Drosophila melanogaster: one gene and its partners. The protein of the gene in region 2 interacts with the protein of the main gene of each other region in a pairwise test. Each region holds a gene or a part of one and is shown on either strand. Other genes may lie near its edges.

The links. The genes of interacting proteins can lie anywhere in the genome.
Region 1: the proteins of CG3880 (region 2) and CG6425 interact in a two-hybrid assay, tested with the Drosophila melanogaster proteins (one large-scale study listed by BioGRID).
Region 3: the proteins of CG3880 (region 2) and Fis1 interact in a two-hybrid assay, tested with the Drosophila melanogaster proteins (one large-scale study listed by BioGRID).

What each region holds. Positions count from the first base shown.
Region 1 is NT_033777.3:26,712,476-26,719,054, reverse strand, and holds CG6425 (uncharacterized protein), read left to right. Parts: upstream 1-1,665; 5' UTR 1,666-1,790; coding exon 1,791-1,857; intron 1,858-1,916; coding exon 1,917-2,939; intron 2,940-3,004; coding exon 3,005-3,036; 3' UTR 3,037-3,890; downstream 3,891-6,579. Other genes in the region: Yif1 (Yip1-interacting factor 1), read right to left, coding at 1-133, 189-727, 1,029-1,077; amon (amontillado), read left to right, coding at 5,332-5,544.
Region 2 is NT_033778.4:24,756,904-24,765,540, forward strand, and holds CG3880 (uncharacterized protein), read left to right. Parts: upstream 1-3,760; 5' UTR 3,761-3,943; intron 3,944-4,378; 5' UTR 4,379-4,384; coding exon 4,385-5,242; intron 5,243-5,298; coding exon 5,299-5,643; 3' UTR 5,644-5,702; downstream 5,703-8,637. Other genes in the region: spz6 (spatzle 6), read left to right, coding at 592-612, 1,595-1,893, 1,954-2,280, 2,681-3,311; CG12848 (uncharacterized protein), read right to left, coding at 5,707-6,069; CG3894 (uncharacterized protein), read left to right, coding at 6,352-6,762.
Region 3 is NT_033778.4:5,600,898-5,606,585, forward strand, and holds Fis1 (Fission, mitochondrial 1), read right to left. Parts: upstream 3,938-5,688; 5' UTR 3,858-3,937; coding exon 3,813-3,857; exon of another isoform or gene 3,754-3,812; coding exon 3,686-3,753; exon of another isoform or gene 3,620-3,685; coding exon 3,571-3,619; intron 3,515-3,570; coding exon 3,347-3,514; intron 3,116-3,346; coding exon 3,003-3,115; coding exon of another isoform or gene 2,999-3,002; exon of another isoform or gene 2,898-2,998; intron 2,865-2,897; coding exon 2,843-2,864; 3' UTR 2,690-2,842; downstream 1-2,689. UniProt on the Drosophila melanogaster protein: Involved in the fragmentation of the mitochondrial network and its perinuclear clustering. Functions downstream of Pink1 and upstream of Drp1 to regulate mitochondrial fission.

The DNA.
Region 1 (6,579 bases), on a different chromosome or scaffold from region 2:
TCTGCATGCCCAGAAGCAAACCCGCTACGATCACGTATGTGATGTAGCCCATGGTGGGCAGATAGAGATCTGGCGCATTAACATCATATCGTGGTTGCACTGGGTGCTCTTGGTCGTAGCGCAGGGACCAATCCTGAAAGGAGTATGTAATTTATATGGTTTCTCCGTTTGTGCTTCACCACTCTCACCTTATGCATATAGGGGAAAAACAGAAGGCGCAACTTCCTGCCCACGTAGGCGTTGTCCACTGCGAAGTAGTACTTGAGCTTGGCTACGGGCACCCACTTCTCGAACTGATTCTCCATGATCTGCTTGCCCTGATCCGCTAGTTTCTGACCGTACTGCATAGCCATGTCTTGCACGATGGGCTGCTGGAACATGGCGAACTGTGGGTACTGTCCAGTGGGTGGAGCTACAGGCTGAGGTGCTCCTATTCCGTAGGTGGGTGGCCCAGCCGCCTGTTGGGGAGGTGGTGCTCCATATCCGTATCCGGGCTGCTGTTGTGGTGGCTGCTGAATGTGCTGCGAGGGCTGGCCGAGATTGGGGTCGAAGCCATAGCTGTTGACCGGGGCCGGAGCAGGTGCTCCGTACATATTGGGATCTAGTATTCCGGGGCCGGTGGGCGGGGCCATGAAGGTGGCGCCACCGCCCATCATCGGAGCCGAGGGTCCCATGGCGTTAACATCACTCACACGCTTCGGCGGCCTTGGGCGACCGGCAGCTGAGGCTATTTTGGGACAGAGCAACCATTAGTTAGTGCCGGAGGATCTAAACGATACAACTGGGAAGCGGGGAACACAGGCACTCAAGCTACACACGCATCACGGAACGGAAACGCACAGCAGGCATAGAAACTGGGGAGCAGGATGCAGTGGAAGCCAGGAGCGGCGCACAAAACGGGGTAACGTGTAACGTAAACAGTGACAGCACTCCGGATTCCGATTCCGGTCAGCGGCGGGTGGGGAAATTCCGGAGTGGCTGCACCGGACATCCTTCAGGTATACTTGCTTGCGTAGCCTGATCCTTACAGTTCTCCCACTTACGGTTCCGCATACCCGGATTTGGATTGTAGTTCATCTTTCTGGATCAGTAAATTGTATTCAAAATTTCGCTTTTTAACACATCACCATAAGCATTTTGTTGTGTGACCGGAGTTTAGTGTTGCCAAATACCAAAGCATGACCGCCTACCAGAATGTTTGCACTCCGATAGATAAAATACTAAAAGTTACAAAAAAAAATTATAGATATCTTTGTTTTTTTTTTTTTTTGTATTATATTTTGTATATTTGTACATTTCTCTATTTTTATAACGTTTACTCCGTAAGTTTACTTATATGTAAATTTATACACTATTTTATTTATACACTAAACTTTCTTTAAGACAATTTCCTATTGTTCATCTTATTGCGATATATGGATTTATGTGCCAATGGATGTCTCAGTACTCAAATAACTGATTTCTTGCATTGGTGGTAACAGAAATATCATCAAGTCAGCCATTATATAAAAGAACATATGTAGATGAAAATTTAAATTGATTGTATTTTAAAGATAAAATATTTTCATAGATTTTGGAGAGTGGATTTTTTTATTAAACTATGCGTTTAAGTGGAAAAGGGCTATAAACAAAACGAGTTGAATAGCAGAGTGACCATGTGAGTTTTGACAGTGCCATCTGGCAACACTGTCGGCTTACTTTAATTTTTAGCGCATTCCGCAGCGCAAAACAAAACAAATTTGATTAGTTAAATAATTGACTGCAGTTCACTTTATTGTTAAGTCAAAGTTATGGAGAACGCACTTAAACGGCGATCTTTAACGCTCAGCACGCGTCTGCTGCATAAGCGCCACAGTGGTAAGGATTTCCAAGCTCGAAAAATCAGGAATATCCATAAAACAATCCTTTGTTAATAGCTTCACCACAGAGCGTACGCACAGGGCACAATGTAAGTGTATCCGTGGACACTCCCGGCTCGCCCAACTCCTCAGCAGTAGTGGGAATCACGTCCGACCTGGAGAGCACTCCACCACACAAACACAAGCCCAGCTTGGACGACAGTGTGGACTTCTCGCCCCGTTTGGACATCAGCCTTTCGCCCAGCTGCCTCTTCTCCCAGACACTGGCCACCGAAAGTCCGGAGGTGGGCTGGCGCTGGAACCGAAGCAGCAATGCCACCACGGACAGTGGCTTCGACTCCGCGGAAATAGGCAGTTTGAGCCAGCGCGAACGACGCCGGCAGATAGCCTTTAAGGGCGTCGAGGATAGACGCAGCCAACTGGACAATGAGCAGTGGCGGGCACAGCAGATGCGGGCTAATGTTCTTCTTAAGGAGCGCTGTGCTAGGCTCAATAGCCAGTTGGAGCAAATAGCTGTGTCCGAACCAGTAATGCCACTAAAAACTCCTAAAGCTCCGTCACCTGTTGCTCCCCGCACAAGATTAACCTGCACGAAGGCTACGCCAGAGCCAGTGCTTTCCCCTGTAGCTGCCTCCGATCCAATGGCAGACTTCCTCAACGACTCGGAGACGGATCTCTTCCTGCTTGAGGCCTCCCAGCAACTGGAGTCGAAAATAGAACACCATGAACCTCCCAAATCAAGCACAAGCACCACACCCACTAGGCACCACACGGCAAAGCGACCCTCCTTCTACATGAAATTTCTGGAAGACGAAAGCGAGGGCGAGGACTGGCTAAACGCCCTAGAAGAGGCAGTGCAGCAGGCCACAATGCCGAAGAAGCCGCGCACCTCGCTGCAGCGCTACAAATCAATGCCAACCACAGGGGATTCGTGCAGCGGAGTGTCCACCCTGACCAATGTGACGGCCAATTCAAATGCCTGCACAAGTGCCTCCTCCGCATCTGGTTCAGAGCTAAGGGATACTCCGCGCATCAAACGGCACGCCAGTTCGCACGCTCTGTCCCCAGCCACATCGCATGGTAAGTGCCAGAGTGAAGTCAAACATTTCTAGACCAAAGCAAACTCATCATTTCGTTCCCTGCAGCGCGCGGCAAACTCTTTGGCAGCCGGAAATGAAACCCGATTAGGTAACCAGCCCCTGAATACAATCAGCTTCCCTTCAGCGAGTACCAATTGTGATGAGCAAAGTTAGAGTTTAAGATATTTCGTTTTGTTTCGCTTGACTTGCGTGCCCCCTTGCCTGAGCATTCTGTATACGAGTACGCTAATTGATTAATGCAGCTCCAAAGCGTCTTTGAAAATGTTAATTTAAGCCTAATTAAAAATTAATTGTAATTTAAAGCAGGACCCTTAATATTCGCATCGAAGGCCTGTGCGTTCGTTCGGCGCATGCGACTCGCCATATGTTCGGCATTATCGGGCCGCGAACGCGCCGCCCACCAGTACCACCAGTACAGGTGGCAGGACGCAGACGGACAGGTGGATACGACTGGTCGCCGACAGGCAGTGAATTGACGTCCCCCGGTTGAGCTTTCATTCACGGATAGGAAGCTCGTTGAGTGCGACAGCGTTTTAAATTAATTGAAATGTAGGCGAAGGATTTCTGTTTTAATATTCAGACTATGGTTATATATAGGTCAGTTGGATTTCTTCGCGTCTTTGAGTTGCTTGAGAAGCAGCTGATAAACCCAACAAAATTAGTATTTAATTACACGTTACCTAAGTACGCCAATTCCTCATCATCTTCGATTGTTTCAATGAATATTTCGTTTTCTTTTTTCCACTATTGATAAACCTGTTTAATATATTATTAAGCCTAATGTAAATGCTTACATTGTGCTGGTTTTTTATATATGTATGAAACATTCAAGACCCAAGCCTTAATAATTTAGTGTATACAAAAGTATTTCTTATTTTTCGTTTATATTACATAAGTTGTATTGAAAAACAAATAAAAACTGCAACTTATTTATCTCTTGAGTTATTTTTCCGGCAACCAATCAAGCAAACATTACCCAATGTTAATTTATGTGGAGTTCATAAAATTAAATTTAAAATGCAATGAGGAGTCTAAGAAGGGATTTCCCTGGAAAACAGAATTTATGGCAAATGAAATCAAAGTGTGTGAATCCCATCTCGCACTTAAAACTCGGGAGGAGGCAACAATCAAGTCGGCATGAAAAGCCGGCGAAAGTTGCCCCAGCTGTCTTCACTTTTCGCTTGGCCTGCAGTTTAAAGGCTTGGGTGCTCGAGGCTTTATGAACCTATTTGGGCTAAGGTCAAAGTTGAAGCCCTTTCGCAGCCATTACGCGTAAGAGGCAATTGCGCCCATGTTTATGAATAGTCCTCCTCCAGTCGTCAGTAGTCCCTTCGCCATTCGAACCGCAGGAGCAAGTGACTCCATTCAGCCGAATCGTGCCATTCAGCCGAAAGTCAGCGAAAGTCAAGTATGCTGCCATATGTTTACGGAGCGCAGCATAAACCAATGACAAAACACTAGCTACAACTTAGCACGGAATGGTGGGTGGCTAATGGCAGCGGGCGTCCAAACTGGTGACGTCTGCGGGCAGCCAAAGCCGCTGCAGAAGCCAAGCCAACCGAGATGGAAAGCCTGAGTCGGTGGGAAAAGCCATAGCAAAAGCTTATCCAACGCAGCTGAGCAGCAGTAGGCGAGCAGGGGCGTAGTCGGGTGGATTATGGGGGATTAAGCTTATCTGTGTGATATGTATATTACTTACTTTACCATGATAGCGTACTTCTAGTTTTGCTAGCGTACTTCTAGTTTTGTAAGCCTAACAGTAGTAGCCCCTTGGAACATTCCTGTGCACGCCACTGGCGAAGCTGGTAAGACAACGGTATCTCCGCTAGGGGTGCGTCGAGTGAGTGGCGGGTGGCTTATCGCCTGCTAGTCGGAGCTTTCGAGCGAGCTTCGGCGGCGAAGCTTTTGCCACCGCTTTGGCGCCTGGCGGACATTCATAATGGCGTCCGTCGGTACCGCTGGCGAACAGTACTCAGCGCGCAGCGCCCCAGTGAAGTTCGTGGCAGCGCACAAAGACTCCAGACGAAGTACATAGAAACAGAATTTCAGGCGGAAGGAAAGCACAACAAGCTCCATAGAAGGGGCCAAAAATACACAATAAAGAAAACAAATTGCAACCACAACAAGAGGATATTTTGCCAACCGAGCAACTTGATCCTGGCTACCCAATTCGCGTCGCCAATTCGCAGAGTGTGCAGTGGAGCGCGTCCTTTATTTTCGTCAGCACTTCGGTATCCTGCCAACGGAAAAAAATCACCCAAAGGACGCCCCACGCACCAACTGTTTGTACGGGCTGCCAGAGTTGCCCCATCGCCGCCAGGAGTCAGAGGCCAGGAGGAACCCGCAGGACCAAGGCGTCCAATCTGAATTCCATGGCAGCAGCCACATGGAGCTGGCTGTTGGCCCCATTCCTGCTCCTCCACTGGGCCAGTGCAGGAGCGGGCGGAGGAGCAGGCGGCTCGGGAGCGGGACTGAGCGGCCCCGCCGTCTTTACCAGCTCCTTCCTGGTGCGCTTCCGGCGCGGAGTGGACAACTCGTTTGCCCATGATGTGGCCGACAAGTACGGCTTCGACAACCTAGGCCCGGTAAGTGGAATGTGCGAAAAATCAATTATTATATTGCCGACGGCCGGCTTGGTGGCTCGCTTCTTTTGGGCCAAGTTGTTAGCGTTTCTGGCTGACATGCTGCACTTGTCGGGCGCGTGTCAGGCGTTAATTGCGATTGCTCGAGGGGTCTGGGTGTCCTAGTGCTCGAGTGTGTGTGTGGATACCAGGAGCGTGCTCGGAATGCCAAAGGCAGCTTTTGGCCAGCTGGCGAGCGGCAAAGTTTTTGGGGCTTGTGGCATTGGCCAACTTCCGTCGGCAGAGCGAAGTTTCCGCTGCATACCGCCAGGCGCAAATTTGCGCATTGCATGCTAAAGACCCATTGCATTCGAGCCAAGGTCAACGTGGCGAAAATAAACTTGCCCACACACGGGGGTAAATAACATCATAATAGGTCAGTAATTTGCACTCGAATCGCTTCTGTCTGCGGCACTTTGACCTGTCATTCCAACGATTTTCTGCCCAGATTATGTCGAGTTTCAAATGAAAAAGTGTAAATAGAATGGAATCAATTCGCTACGGATCAATGATGCATGTATAATCATTTCCAAAGTATTGCTTCTTGTATGTTTGCTTATCATACAAACTATTCGTTGCGAAATCATTCCTGTTGTAATTCCATGTGCAACGTCAGTATGGACTTTCACTTTCTGCAATCCTGACAGCCCTGCGATTCGCATCGAGAAACCCTCTTATGGGTTTGTCATCCGTCAACGTAATGCGTAACCATTGCCCAATTCTGTCAGCACTTGACAGCTATGACGCGCACTTGTTGCACACGCACTCGGATTAGGTCAATAACTCACTCGAGGATTTCAGGATTAATGCGAATTCAAGAGCTGGAACGGACGCAATTAATTAGGGGCATCAATAACAACTAGAGAGCGGTAGATGGGCATGGGGGAGGGACTACAAAAAGCTGGCGCTAAATCCAATTAACTCTCCTATTCCTTGGAAATCCGATATCCAGTCGTCACCTGAGGCCCCGGCTCGCTGTTCCTGGCGGATGGCGTGGTC
Region 2 (8,637 bases):
TGGAGAGAAAGAACTTTATTACGGTGTAAAATGTTCATTGTATTCATAAATAAACGTGAAGTTGTTGAATATGAAGTATGATTTGGAAGTGAACTAATAAAAATTAAAAAAAAAACACTTGGCTGGGGTTAGGAAGGTCTCTTTATTGTTGCATAAGCATCAGTTCTCAAATATTGTTGAATCCTGACATGTTCCGAATTCTTGTAATCCTGGATCGCAATATTGGCCATTTTCTTATTCATAACTGACGTATTAGCCAGATTTTCGTCATTGATGGAACGGATAGAACTCGACAACATTTTTACATTGTATTGAGCCGGAAAGTATGCTTCTGTTTTGGTTTTCATACTTGGCTCTCTCAAAATATGCATAATTCAAAGTAAAGCTTTCTTTCTTTCCACTTTCTCATGCTCTGGCTAGTTTACCGGGCTTACAAGCAGCCAGAGGTTCAACGTCTGCAGCGACTTGGTCGACAACTCAGTTCAGTTGGTGCACTTGACGCGTCTGGTTCTGCTTCCCACCACTGCGGATTAAGCCAAGCCTGACGAAGGCCAAGTCCAAGAACCTTCTACAAGAAGCAAACGAGCGGAGATGGATTATCGTCTAGTGCTGGTATGTCATCATTACGGGTGTGCTAACTGCACACTTTTTCTATGGCTCGCTGGTCAAGTTCGTTGCCCAAGTCTTTTGTTTTGCAATGCGTTAACATTGGCGAGCTAACCGCTTACGTTTACTGTTACTCAGTCCCTGGGAACCGCCCGATTCTGGAGCATGCTAATGAATTAAGCTAACCAAAGAGCAGCGTACGTTCCGATCCGTTCTGCCCCTTCTTCTAGTTCGGTCTTCTAACTACTGGCTTTTGGCCGGGTGCCGAGCAACTTTCCCGTTAGGCGTGTGGCACGCATATTGGGAACAGAGCGCCAACAAGTTCTTTCCTGACCAGATCAAATCAGCCTGTCTTGGCCCCGAAAGGCGGTTAGGTCTTCATTCTGCAATTGAGCTACCAATATTTACCTATGCAAATTGTGCTCTTTCCATTTGGGAGCTCTCTCGCAGGGCAAACAAGTTTCTGCCTCATTAGAAGGGAAAAAACAAAAGAACGAGCTTAGCGGCTGACCCGATTTTGGATTCCCCGACGCCGCATTCAAATTACGCTGTGAACCGTGTCACAAAGAGAGAAATTCCACAGCTTCTTGGCACTGCAGCCGCCCACCGATCTGTACCACTTGACCTGGATTACTCGGGTCTGTCCGTGGAACTTTTGGTTTCATTGAGATGCCACTGCCCAGAACTTCAGGGAAAGTTCCCTCGAACAATTAATGGTCAAGTGAGCACAGCGGAGAGATGCTGAAGTGGCGTCTCGATCGCAGTTGCTGCCTCGGTTTGTTTATCTTCACAAAAACAGAAACAGAAACTTTCGCGCTTTCGCCAAACAACAAAACATCGAAAAGTGTATGTATGGCCGGGTAAAAGATCTCGATTCTTTTTCCGGACAATATTGGGCCATTCACCGACTCTTCTGGGCAATTAACTCGACTCCAGACGGCTACGGCCACTGATTGTACCTCCACTGTGACTATCTTTTGTTTTGTAGAAAATTCTCAGCTTTCTGCTGCTGGCCCAATTGGGTTTCTCCCAGCCGCAGCAGCAGTCGCCATCTGACTACGGTGAGGAGCAGCCTCCGGAGGGTTATTACGCCTTCGTCGAGTCCCCGAATGCGGTGCCTCCCAAGGTCAGGCCGCCACCTTACACCTTTGTAAATGCGGAGTGCAAGGACGTGGCCGCCGGCAAGAAGTCTGCCGTGTCCGTTCACAACATTTGCGGAGATCTAAACAAGGGTCAGATACCCAAGAATCCGCTGGGACAAAATGTACTCGGGGAGCCCTATCCCTTGTAGGTGAAAATATTTGCGTAACAAATTTCAGACATCTCTAATGTACACCTCCTCCACAGCGAACTTATTCGCAACCAAACGCTGAAGTTCCTTTCGAAAACTTTGCCCGTTCTAAAGGCCGACGATACCCTACCCAAGGTCACCCAGATCATTCGAGATGAACCCGTGGAACAGCTGGACAGCAACAACATCGACAGGCCCTATCCCGCAGGAGGTTCCACTCGCGTCCGCCGCAGCCTGCCGGAGGGCGTGGAGTCCAACGAGTACAGCTACTTCGATCCCGCCCTGGACGAGGAGGAGCAACACAAGCAAAGGGATCGGAATAACCAGCAGAGAAGGGCCGCCGAGGAGAGGAAGCCAAGGAAATTCTGCGATGGCGGTGGAGTGTAAGTTTTTAGCATGGAAACGGGGGAGTAGAGTTATTCCAATCTTAACTGCTACATAAATGAAAGATAAATATATCGTATTTCTTAAAGCACGGGAAAGGCGCGCATATAAAGCTAAAGAGGTCACCACTTAAAAATTATGAGTCATCTTTATAAAATTATAGATTCGAAGAATTATCAAGGCAAAGAACCCAAATGAGCTTGTCATTTCACTTTCCACATCATAATGTAAAGCCATACAACTAAAGAAGCTCAACACTTTAATCGACATCCATAGATATTGTAGAATAGGTTAAGAGAGGAGTACATCATGGGGTATTCAACTGCTTAGCATTTTGACGACACAACTGCGTGCAGGTCAATTAATAAAAGATTTTTAAACTTTTAACTCCACCCACAGATTTTGCACCTTATACAGGGCAATTCAGGGAGACACCGGAGGAGCAGCCCCTGCCACGCCCACTGCGGAAAGGCGCGAGGAGGTGGGTCCCATCCGGTACGAGGGTCCTCCCACTCCCTGTCCCGCCAAGGTAGAGTACGCTACTCCCGTCTTCGCTAAGAACTACCAAGGCGCCTGGCGTTATGTGGTCCAGATTCCCTATGAGGGCTACTTCACCCAGACGGTGGAGGTGACGCGTTGCATTCAGGCACGCTGTCACTACCTGGACGGCGGTTGCTTGTCGTCACCACGCTGGGTAAGCCTGTTGGTGGCGGAGATCTTCTACCCCAATGCGGAGGACACAGTGCCCACCAGCTCGACCACCACTCAGGCCCCTTCTGTGCAGGATTTCCAGGCCTACCAGCAGTACCTGCAGAAGAGGGCAGGCGTGGCTACCGCCTCCGACGGAACCTCGTCTGGAGCAGCCGGCCCCGCGGCGCAGGTGGACGCCCACTGCGATGGACACGATGAACTGGGCTGCTTCCAGGTGCGTCTCTACTACGACTGGTTCCTCATCCCCGGCTCTTGCAAGTGCTGGCGCCCGGACTACTTCGCCAAGTACGTGCGCCGGAAGTCGGTGGCCGAGTTGTGAACACTTCCTGGACAGGATTTTCGAAGGAAATCCTTAGAATAAGACTAAGTTCTAGCCTTTAGAGGAACACAACTTTGAGGTGAAAGGCTCATTCTAGTAATCCACCCGGGTGCCCCACAGCCCTATACGGATCACGCAGAGTTTGCAGTTCGTGCATCTACCAGATACAATCTTAACCTAGGCGGTTAGCTCCCTCTTTCGACTGATTAAGCCAAGAGCAGTGCATTTCTACTAATAAATACGTTTCTACCTAATCATAAGAGAGCCTCTCTATTCGGCACTTTGCTGAGACTGCGATGTGGTATTGGCCTAGCCTGTGTGTGTTAGCCTCCTGGAACTCTCTCAGCTGCGCTTGTGTTGGAAGATCCACCGAAAACCCACAGAAACCAGTCGCGCAAGTTGCGCATGCGTGCGAGACTCGGGCCCAAAACCTCGGCCGCTGATCTAGTGTGCAGTCAATATAACCAGTTGGTTGGCTTTGGGTGTTTTGGCCGGGGATCCAAGCGACCGAGCTGCATTACATACACAGAATAGTTGCAGAGTTTGCGCAGAAGCCTTGACGAACGGCCTCAAAAGGCTGCCAGACGAGCCGCGGACTCGGATTTCAGGAGCCAATTTTCCGCATAGCTTGGGTAAGTCAGCCAAATGGAGGGCCGTCTCTTTGTTTATAAACAAAATAAGCAACCAAAGTGGACTAAGGTACAGATGCAGCTGCGATAATAACATTGAGTAAACTTGGTACTTGAAGGCAAGAAACTAACAAAATCATTCATTTGCACGTCTCAGTTGAGCCCATTTAAATAAAATTGTAGAGTTTGAAATCAAGTAATTTTGTGTGGCGACTAGACGATTTTATAAAAATAAATTTGTTAAAACTGCTTGTAAATAAGTGGGAAATATCTTAGCTCAGAGATTCAGTCCTAAGGCAGCGTGCCAGATTCACACACATTCCATTTGGAGTTACCCATGCAAATGAGCTCCTATTAATATAAGTTATGCATTGGTGCCAAGCGTGGGACTATACGATTCATAATCTCATCCCACTTTCCATTTTGCGCCATCCGCAGACGAAGATGCTCCGCCAGAACAAGAATACCAGTACCAGTCTGCTGAACCTAAGCATAGGCGATGTGGGAGGCAGCCATCCACAGGGGCAGTCGCAATTTTGGGAACTGGATACGCTGCCTAAGCAGTTCGTCCTGTCCATGAAAAAGCTCTTCGACATCTTAGATGACAAGCAGACCGGATACGTGCGCTTCACGGACATCGAGAAGGGCTGGCAGGATGATGGCTCCAAGGGACTGCCACGCGGAGTTGTGGACTCACTCCGTCGGGTCACTCCCAGTAGCGGACTTCTCTCCTTCGAGCGGTTCTGCGCCGGCCTCAAGCTGTGCCTGCTCCGCAATCAGCAAAACGCTGTGGAAGACCTGAAGTTGCGGCCTCGTTCCCACGGAACTCTTGCTCCGGAGATGGAGTTCCATTCTCCTGCTCCGCCGCCAAAACCTCCACGACAGGTACCCAAGTCCCCTGCTCTGGGTAAAGACGACATTCGCCATGCCCTCCAAAACTGGCAACTGAACCTGATGGCGGACGCAGGAAAGTCAAAAACGACGCAGTCGCGGGAACAATTCGAACACCGTGGATCGGCTGACGGTGGCTCTTCCTCCACCTCTGCTTCGGCCACCGACTGGAGCCTGGCCCTTCCGGCTGTGCCCAAGAAGACCAGCAGCAAGCGCAGAGAGTCGCGGAGGCACACTCTGCAACACGGCATCGATTACAACATGCTAAAAAGACTGAAGCAATTGGAGGAGCAGCGGGAACTGCTTCTTTTCGGACTCGATGGCGTGGAGAAGGCACGCGATTGGTATATGATGCAGGTGCTCAATGTACAGGAGCAGATAAAGTATTTCGGCCGTTTAGGAACCCGATTTGTAAGTAGTCCTCTAGCTTGTAATTAATAGTTACCCCTTTCCTGATTTTCGCACAGGATCAGTGGTCTGAACTGCAGCAAGAAAGGCTAAACTTTCAACGCGCCCGCGTTTTTGAGGCCAATCGCAGCCTCCAGATTCTGGCCGACACCTGGGAGCACGGCGGCTACCCACTGCACATTAATTTGGCTGTGCCGACACCCACCGTCCCAAAACCGAGGCAGATGTCCGATCTGCTCAGTCGGGTTCGCGAGAAGCCGCCGCTTCTGTCAGACTTGTACGAGGCGCAGCACTCTCATTCCCATCCGCAGTTCCTGCGTGCCATGCCCAACTTCGTGCTCAGCCAGCCCTCGCCGGTCAGCCAATCCTCGGCCGGGCTGGGAGACGCCGACGTGGTCTACTGACGAATCAATGCTGCTGCGTACATTGTAAATAGTGTATTATTAAACAACTTGAACTATGTAAAGCTATACGGGATTGGGGTAGCGGCGCATGTACTTGTTAAGTTGCTTGTAGTTCAGGTTGCTGCCCGGTTGGACGATTCCCTGGTTCACGGTCTTCTTCGCCTCAAACTTACGGTCCATGTAGCACTTGTAGCAGTTCTGGAACTGGCTGATCTCCTTGTGGCAGTACTTCTCCACGAATTCGTTGTCTTTCAAGCAGGCGAACAGCACGCCCATCTCCTGGAGACAGGCCACATCGGATCCGGAGTCCGCCTTCCCGCTCACGGTGTTCTTCAGCCGCAGAGGCAGAATCTCCTGGAAGGGCACGTCCTTCTCGCTTTGAGGCGCTCGGCCGCGCGCGGCAAACAGGGCTCCGGGTACGCGCATCTGAAACCCCTTGGCTCTGTGAGTCCGGTCATTTCAGTCAAAAAATACGATTTTACCCACCTCGTAATTTCCACCGACTCCTGGACAACTGAACAGCTGCTTCAGATTACGTCACGAACTGGTTCCTGCTTTTGGTGGTGATTGCCAGTACGTCTGCAGCCCTGGTATTTCGTTTAACATAAGCATACGGTCACACTTAGAGTCTCCGTGGAACAAAAGGTAAATAATCAACCTGCGGGCACGCCAGGAGATTCTTCAAGGATCACCGAAGACCACGCGCACATGGAAGCCGCCGAGCAGCTCGACGAGGCGGCAGCACCAGCCGCCCTTTGCGCGCCTTCGCGTGCAGCCTACGCGGCCGCCGAGCAGGAAGATCCAGACCCAGACCAGGAGCAGGACCGAGGCCGGGAATCGCCCATTGGTTCGTTGGAGTGCGCCCCCACCCTGAGCAGTCGCAAGCGGCAGCTGAGTCGCTTTCATCCATACCACGGGTCCAATATCCAGTTGGGCGACGACGCCACAGTGGCCTACCGGAGAGCTAGTTTTGCCGACGCCCTGACATTCTCGGAGCGTCCGCTGGCCCCTGGGGACATCTTCTTGGTGGAGATCGAAAAGATAGAGCGCGGCTGGTCGGGCCATATGCGTCTTGGTCTCACCGAACTAGCGCCCAATGTGATTCGCACCAGCAGCGAGGGAAAAAAGGCGCCTCAGGAGAATCTGGTTTTTCTCGCGCAACCCAAGGGACAAGGCAGCACTCAACAGAGCCATCAAGGAACTCAAGGACAAGCTGTGTACCCTACGGCAAGACTCCTTCGACAGATTCCTTGAGGAGCTGGAACCTGGTGACCCGCAACATAATCTGTGGCAAGTCACGCGTCATATCAGGAGGCCTGCAAAGAAGGCGTCGCCGGTGCGAAAAGCGGACGGCTCTTGGTGCCGCTCTGAAGCCGAAAGAGCTGAAGCGTTTGCAGATCACCTCCAGAATGCATTCACACCATTTGACAGATGCACTGGCGAAGAGCGTGCTGCAACCACCAGGTTCCTAGAGAGTCCATGTCCTCCTAGCCTGCCCATAGAGCCCGTCACCCCAGAAGAGGTTGCGCAAGAGATCGCCTCCCTAAAGGCTAGCAAATCCCCAGGACTGGATCGCATCGACGCCACATCCCTTAAAATGCTGCCACCGCCCTGTTCCCAGTTGTTGGCCAACATATACAACAGATGCTTCTCACTAGGGTACTTCCCGAGATCATGGAAACGTGCAGAAGTCATTCTCACCCTCAAACCTGGAAAACCTGAAGCCAATCTTGCCTCATATAGACCGATTAGTCTGCTGACAATCCTCTCCAAAATACTCGAAAGAGTATTTCTGCGCAGAGTCATGCCAGTACTGGACGAGGCTGGACTGATCCCTGATCACCAGTTTGGCTTCAGGCGATCCCACGGAACACCAGAGCAATGTCACCGGCTCGTAGCACGCATCCTAGATGCATTCGAGAATAAACGATACTGTTCGGCCGTATTCCTGGATGTCAAGCAGGCGTTCGACAGAGTGTGGCATCCTGGACTCCTCTACAAACTCAAGTCCCACCTTCCCAGTTCCCACTATGCCCTACTCAAATCGTATACTGAAGGAAGAGAGTTCCAAGTGCGATGCGGTTCCTCAACAAGCACGACAAGGCCTATACGAGCCGGAGTACCTCAAGGCAGCGTCCTTGGTCCCATCCTCTACACCCTGTTTACAGCAGACCTCCCTATCATACCCTCCCGTTACCTCACAGCAGCCACCTATGCAGATGACACGGCGTTCCTTGCCACCGCAACAAACCCTCAATTAGCATCAGCCATCATCCAGAGGCAACTGGATGCACTGGATCCATGGCTGAAACGCTGGAACATCATGATCAACGCTGATAAATCCTCCCACACCACCTTCTCTCTGCGCAGAGGAGAATGCCCCCCGGTCTCACTCGACGGCGACACAATCCCTACCTCCAGCACCCCCAAATATTTAGGGCTGACCCTAGACAGAAGGCTGACTTGGGGCCCCCACATCAACAGTAAGCGTATCCAGGCCAACATACGCCTAAAGCAACTCCACTGGCTCATGGGTAAAAAGTCAAAGCTGCGAGAGAAACTAAAGATTCTCGTCTACAAGACTATTCTCAAGCCAATCTGGACGTACGGAATTCAGCTGTGGGGCACTGCTTGCACATCACATAGAAGGAAGATCCAGCGATTTCAAAACAGATGTTTGAGAATAGTCTCCAACGCCCATCCCTACCACGAAAATTCCGCCATCCACGAGGAGCTCGGGATTCCATGGGTAGACAACGAAATCTACAGACACAGCGTGAGATATGCTAGCAGACTGGAGAACCACCACAACCACCTGGCCGTCAACCTTCTAGACCACAGCCAATCCCTAAGACGCCTGCAGAGAACGCACCCGCTTGACCTTACTCAACATACTTAATCATACTTAACCCCTACCCAAGTACACTCGATGTACTCCCCTTAAGTTAATGTTTCCCTCCAAAAAATTTAATTATTGTCCACTAGGACAGATTT
Region 3 (5,688 bases), about 19 Mb from region 2:
TAAACTTTCACAGCTTTCACAGTCCCAGAAGCAGTCGACGATCAAGACTTGATAGAAAAGTAAGATTAATGTTAGAATTAATAAATAAAATCATTTATGTTTATTAAAACAAGAAAGAATGTTTGAGTGACTGTTGACTGTTGGGAATATAAAACCTTCATAGTCGCCTGGAACGACACCGACGAATTTATAATGGGTGATGTCCGTAAGATATTCCGCGCATCTGTTGATTGCATCTGGTTTAGCAGACCATTTTTGAAATGACAATAAGTCCTTACAAGAATGGCATAGCCACCCTTCACCAATCATTTACTAATTTGGACTTCTTCGAGTAGATAGTCGGCTGACGAACTGTCGTAACGTGTAACGAAATAAATTGATGGAAGGAATTCGGTTCTAGCTCGTTGGCGAGGAGTTTGGTGGTCTTGCTTGTACAGATACCTTTTCGCTACGGACATTAATGAATAAGATCGATAATTATTATATTCGAAAGAAAGCTTGAGACAACTGTTACTGGCGAAACACCGGTGTAATTGTGTTTGCGGATTGCCCTACCCTACCTATGACCACTTTCCTTAATAGCAAGGCTCTAGTGGCCTCTTATGTGCCCTATTTCCGGAGAAACATCAGCCGAGTTCAGTATTTAAATTTTAAGAGGTTAATTTCTGTATTCATTTTGGTGACTAAAAATTATTAACAATATTTACACTGGCACCGACTTCTGTGGCTCCTGCACAGACACTTCAATTTCTGACTGGATTCTAGTTATATCCGTTACTCGTAGAGTAAAAGAGTATACTAGATATGTTTAAAAGTACGTAACAGGCACAAGGAAGCGTTTTCTATCACATAAAATATATATGTTCTTGATTATAATCAATAGCCGAGACGATGTGACCCTCTCCCTCTGTCCGTCCGTCCGTCAAGATATGACGCATAGCAAGTTTGTTGACCTGTGTTGCCACTCTACCGCACAAATATGTTATAATATTTTTTCATATCTTTAAAGTAATTCAGTACTCATCGTCCAACGGGAAAATTCCATAAGTCATTGCGGACCCTTCTTTTCTCCTTTGCAAACCCAAATTTATGGATCTTCGCTTGGCCTATCCTATTTCTGGAAGATTTAAAAAGGCTTTTTTTATTATATCGTCTACATAGGGAGATTAACAAAACCATTACTTGAAATAAAATTAAAACTTAACTAACACTAAAAAAAATTGTGGGCCTCTAATAACTATACTGAGCGGGGCTCGGATAGAAATCCGGGTTAAGTTCCTGGCCATATGGCTTGGATGAAAAGTGATTTTGATTTACACTTTTAGTTGATTTGTATTAAAAATATGTCTCATCCCAAACTTTACGCAAAATGAGCTCATATAAACCAACCAAATCAAATATTGAAGTCAAAAGGTTTGGGATAGTTTAGAGATAGAGAGCTTGGTTAAAAAGAAGATTTACAGTTTACTGCTCACGAACGAATAAGTAAGCCGAATAAGATAAGGTGAATCTCTTTCATTAGTGGATTTTAATGACCAACCAATTTATTAACTGTCTGGCAGTTCAATATATAACCAAACGTATGCTCGAAATGTCCACATATGTATGCTCATTTTGCTTTTGTTTGTTTTCAAATTTAAAACCTAATCATTGCGTAAGTCTATTGAAGTGAAATAAACTAAATTTAAATGTTTTTATAAATATTTATGCAATGGAGCCAAGAAAGTCTTACTTTTAAATTACCTAATGTTTTCGAGTATCATATGTAGTAAATAATAAATGAAAATGATATCGAACGGAAGACGAACAAGTGTAGAATTATTACAGGAATTAGAACGGTTAGGTATAGAATGAAAAAATATCAATATTAATCAATAGATCAGTAATAAAATCAAATTATGTTTAAGTAGAAACACCAATTTAAACTACATGCTGATCCAAGAACTTCCGTACCCCAATTGGATAAAAGCGGCCAAATGCATAATTAATTTGGAATCGCGTGGACCATGGCAGGGTGAGCAACTATCACCCCCCAATGACATTGTGGGTTGTGCATTGAGAGAAACTCCCTATCTATCATTTTCCATAGCTATCATTTAAATTCACATAGATATGAATGAGCACCCAAATGCTGTAACCTCAAAAGAACACCACGACACTCGCTGACGAGATAGAGCCGGATTGAAATGCGTGCTTTCTTGATATCCCCTATCAACGTCCAAAGTATTACCACTATTGAAATATAGCTAGTCTCCGAATTAAATTCAGTATAAAACTGCGCTCCACCCATAACCTTTATTCAAGGCTATCTGCTGTTCCTTGTGTTACGATTTTGATAAAGCCGTACGTACTCACAAAAATATGCGACATGAAGAAATAGTTATTTTAGATGGGAACACTTAGCTAATCCTACCTATCCTGAGTCTAAAAAAAAATATCCGAAATACAATTTCACTAGAAAGGAGTAGAGAGTAGTTTGGATTACTGGAGGTCAGTCTTCTGGACCCAGGGAGATCATATTATTTTGCACCCAGCCGGGGCGATGATTCGGTAGACTACGCCTTCGAAGTTCTTCTTTGTATGGACTAAAAACAACAGAAGTCCGATGATTTAAGCATTGTTGGAGTTTAATTCAGCGGAGTCGGCATAGCACTATACCTTAACATATGTAATTAACACACACGATCTACAAGCAACAATTGGATAATTTATTGATTTAACCGTACATAAAGATTAATTAGAATGTTGATGTAGTAAATTAACATATTTCAAGTATTAAACTTCATAACATCTTGATGTGCACCTTTCGATGTTTTATTTTCCTTAAATAGTGGTGACGTTACTATTTCTCCCGTTTTTGTTTACTAAAAAATAAACAATGTACACATAGCATTAATAATTAAGTCAATGTAGATTTAATTTAAATCATAAATATTTAATTTTCAACTGCTTGTTTTTAAAAGAACATTGTCGGTTAAAAACGTGTTGGTATAAAATATTACTTTCTAGCCATAGCAATGCCAAGTCCTAATATTCCGCCAAGTACTAAAGCTGCTCCGCCTGCAACCACCATACCCTTTGCCACTTCCTTATCGATTTCTTTTTTAATATATTCCTGAAATATGTAAAGTTATTTAGTAATTATTCGTACATTGAATTTTAGTGTATGTACATTAGTGAGGATCACATGAATATGTTTTTCATTATTATATATGTACATTTAACACGACACATCTTTTGTGATCATGGGATTTTGGTTGTCATAAAAATTTTCTGGATCAAAAAATTATTTGAATCTATTGGAGATTATATAGAAATTGCTGCTTTCCTTAGTGACCTTACTAACCTCTAGGGAGCGAACTTGATCATTTGACTCGATGTCAAGAAAAGCTCGGCAGTATTTTAAGCCAGACGTATACTCCTTGATACGAGCATTACCAAACGCAAGATAATATATATAGTCACGCCTTCCATCTGGATGCGTACGAGCCAGTTCCTCCAAAATCATAATTCCCTGGATTATAAATAAAATAATATTTTTACATCTTTACAGCTTTAAAAGTGAGTCACCTTTCTAACGTCATTTGTGTACCGACTTCGGACCAGACAGAATGCGTACCTATTGTGTCATTAGAATTGAGAAGAATTGAGATATTTTAATGTTTTTAGATTTAGGAATGCGTACTCAAACTTTGTGTCTGTGGTAACTTCACCATCCAACTCAAGTTCGTGATGATACTTTTTTTCGAATCTCTGGAGCAAATGCAAAATATTTATTTTATAACAATCAGAACTAAAATAATATTTTTTACTTCTAAATCTTCTTGTGGTACAACTTCGTTTAAAAGATCCTCCATTGTTTGGCAAATGTTGTTAGCAAATACAAAAATTATATACAGAGAATTTAACGCCAAGAGTAGCCGTTCATTCTAAAAATATAGGATTAGTCGTACCGTTTATATACAATTCTCAGAGAACGACTTCCTTCACATTTTTAGTGTTCCTTCTTATATTCGATTGCCACTGAGACTATTTAATAAGGGGTACTCCGTTAATAGCATGTGTTCTTAATTAAGCCAAATAAAATTCAGCTTTGGAGTTTCAAAAATTTTAGCGAATTCACGGAAGTATTTGATTTTAACTACTTTAGTTTGATTTTATAAAATTTTTGATGTTATAATTATTAATTGTGATCAGAGAAAAATGCATTTACAAAAAAATGTTAACTTCTTTGGCTCCTCAATACCGACTCGGTTATTGATCCTCAATAAAGTGTTAGGAAAAGTTTTGTGTTACCTGTTTTATTCATTTAACGGGTATAACAACGAATTGTTGATTTCTTTTTAATTCATTTCAATTGAACCTGATCCAGACTTTTCAACGAATCTACTTTAACATTTTACTCTTCGAGTAATGTGTGTAATTTAGTATTCAAATTCCTGTATTTTGTGAATAGATAAGGTGTAAGTCCGTTTTTTATGTATCTCGGTTCCATCAATTCAGAGTTTCTTAAAAAAGTTTGTTTATAAAAATAGTTGTTATGAAATAATATTTATCATGTTCTCGATGTGCGCTTTATAAAATATGAAGATAAATGCAATGAAGACACTGCTGGTCGGAATCTCTTATTAATATACCCCTAAAAGAGTTTAGAATGAAAAGCTTTTTTGAAAATAAATACCCATCATTAACTTTAATGGCCACTGAATTTCGTATTTCCTACCTACCTTCAAAAGATCGCTCGATTTTAGAGCTGGCCTCCTATAATTTGACAGCAATTTTGCTAACGCATCAGTATAATTACGATGAGGATCCGGTTCATTCTTTATTTGTTGAACGATGGGGCTCGCGTACGTGACGGCATTTCTTCGCGGGACGGTGCGGGGAGGCAAGAGATGGGTTGTGCTAGTCCCACGAAGTTGAACAGGCAATGATATTGCAGAATTACTGTTCGAAAATCAATGAATATGCTAGCGGTTCAATATATAGCTGACGCATGCAAAGAGCAAAATACAATCGAGTGATACACAAAAACCCAAGCTGGCCACCAGCTTGGTCCTCACCAAGGGCCAGTATAAAGTATCTTAATTTACACCCAAGAAAGTGTCGCGCAATTGCTTCTCGGCAGTTTTTGTTGACATGTCCCATGACGTGAACACAATTTTTATTTCTATTGCTTTTGACTTTTATGCACATGCCCACTCATAATCCTAGAGACATTTGTCATTGATGGTCCGGTCCGGCGAATCTATTGTTGTTGATTGTTGAGCCCGGCTCTATTCACACTTTCTTTCGAACCGAGTCGGCCAGACTAGACCGTCGTATTATTGTGATTTACTTGAGCCGCTTTATCGCCGTAATCACAACAAAGTTGTGCGACAAATACAGATATGGGGACCAACAATAAGAGCGAGAGTTGCGGATGGCAGGCAGCTGCTTGGCTCCTAACCAACTTGAAAGTGACTAATCGGAGCTTAATGTCATTCCGGGACCCTGACCGGAAGACGACGGTTCGCCGTCGATTCGTTAAGGGCAACTAATTGTTGCGACGTGTTTACACACACGCTGTGTCAGCACGGGGTTGTTTTTGCAGCGGGTGCTACCAAGAGACTGCTACCAGGCGGTTGCCCCGTTCGCCATAAATGATCCTGTAATTTTCGTTGGGCGCGTGCTCGCGATTGTTCTTTA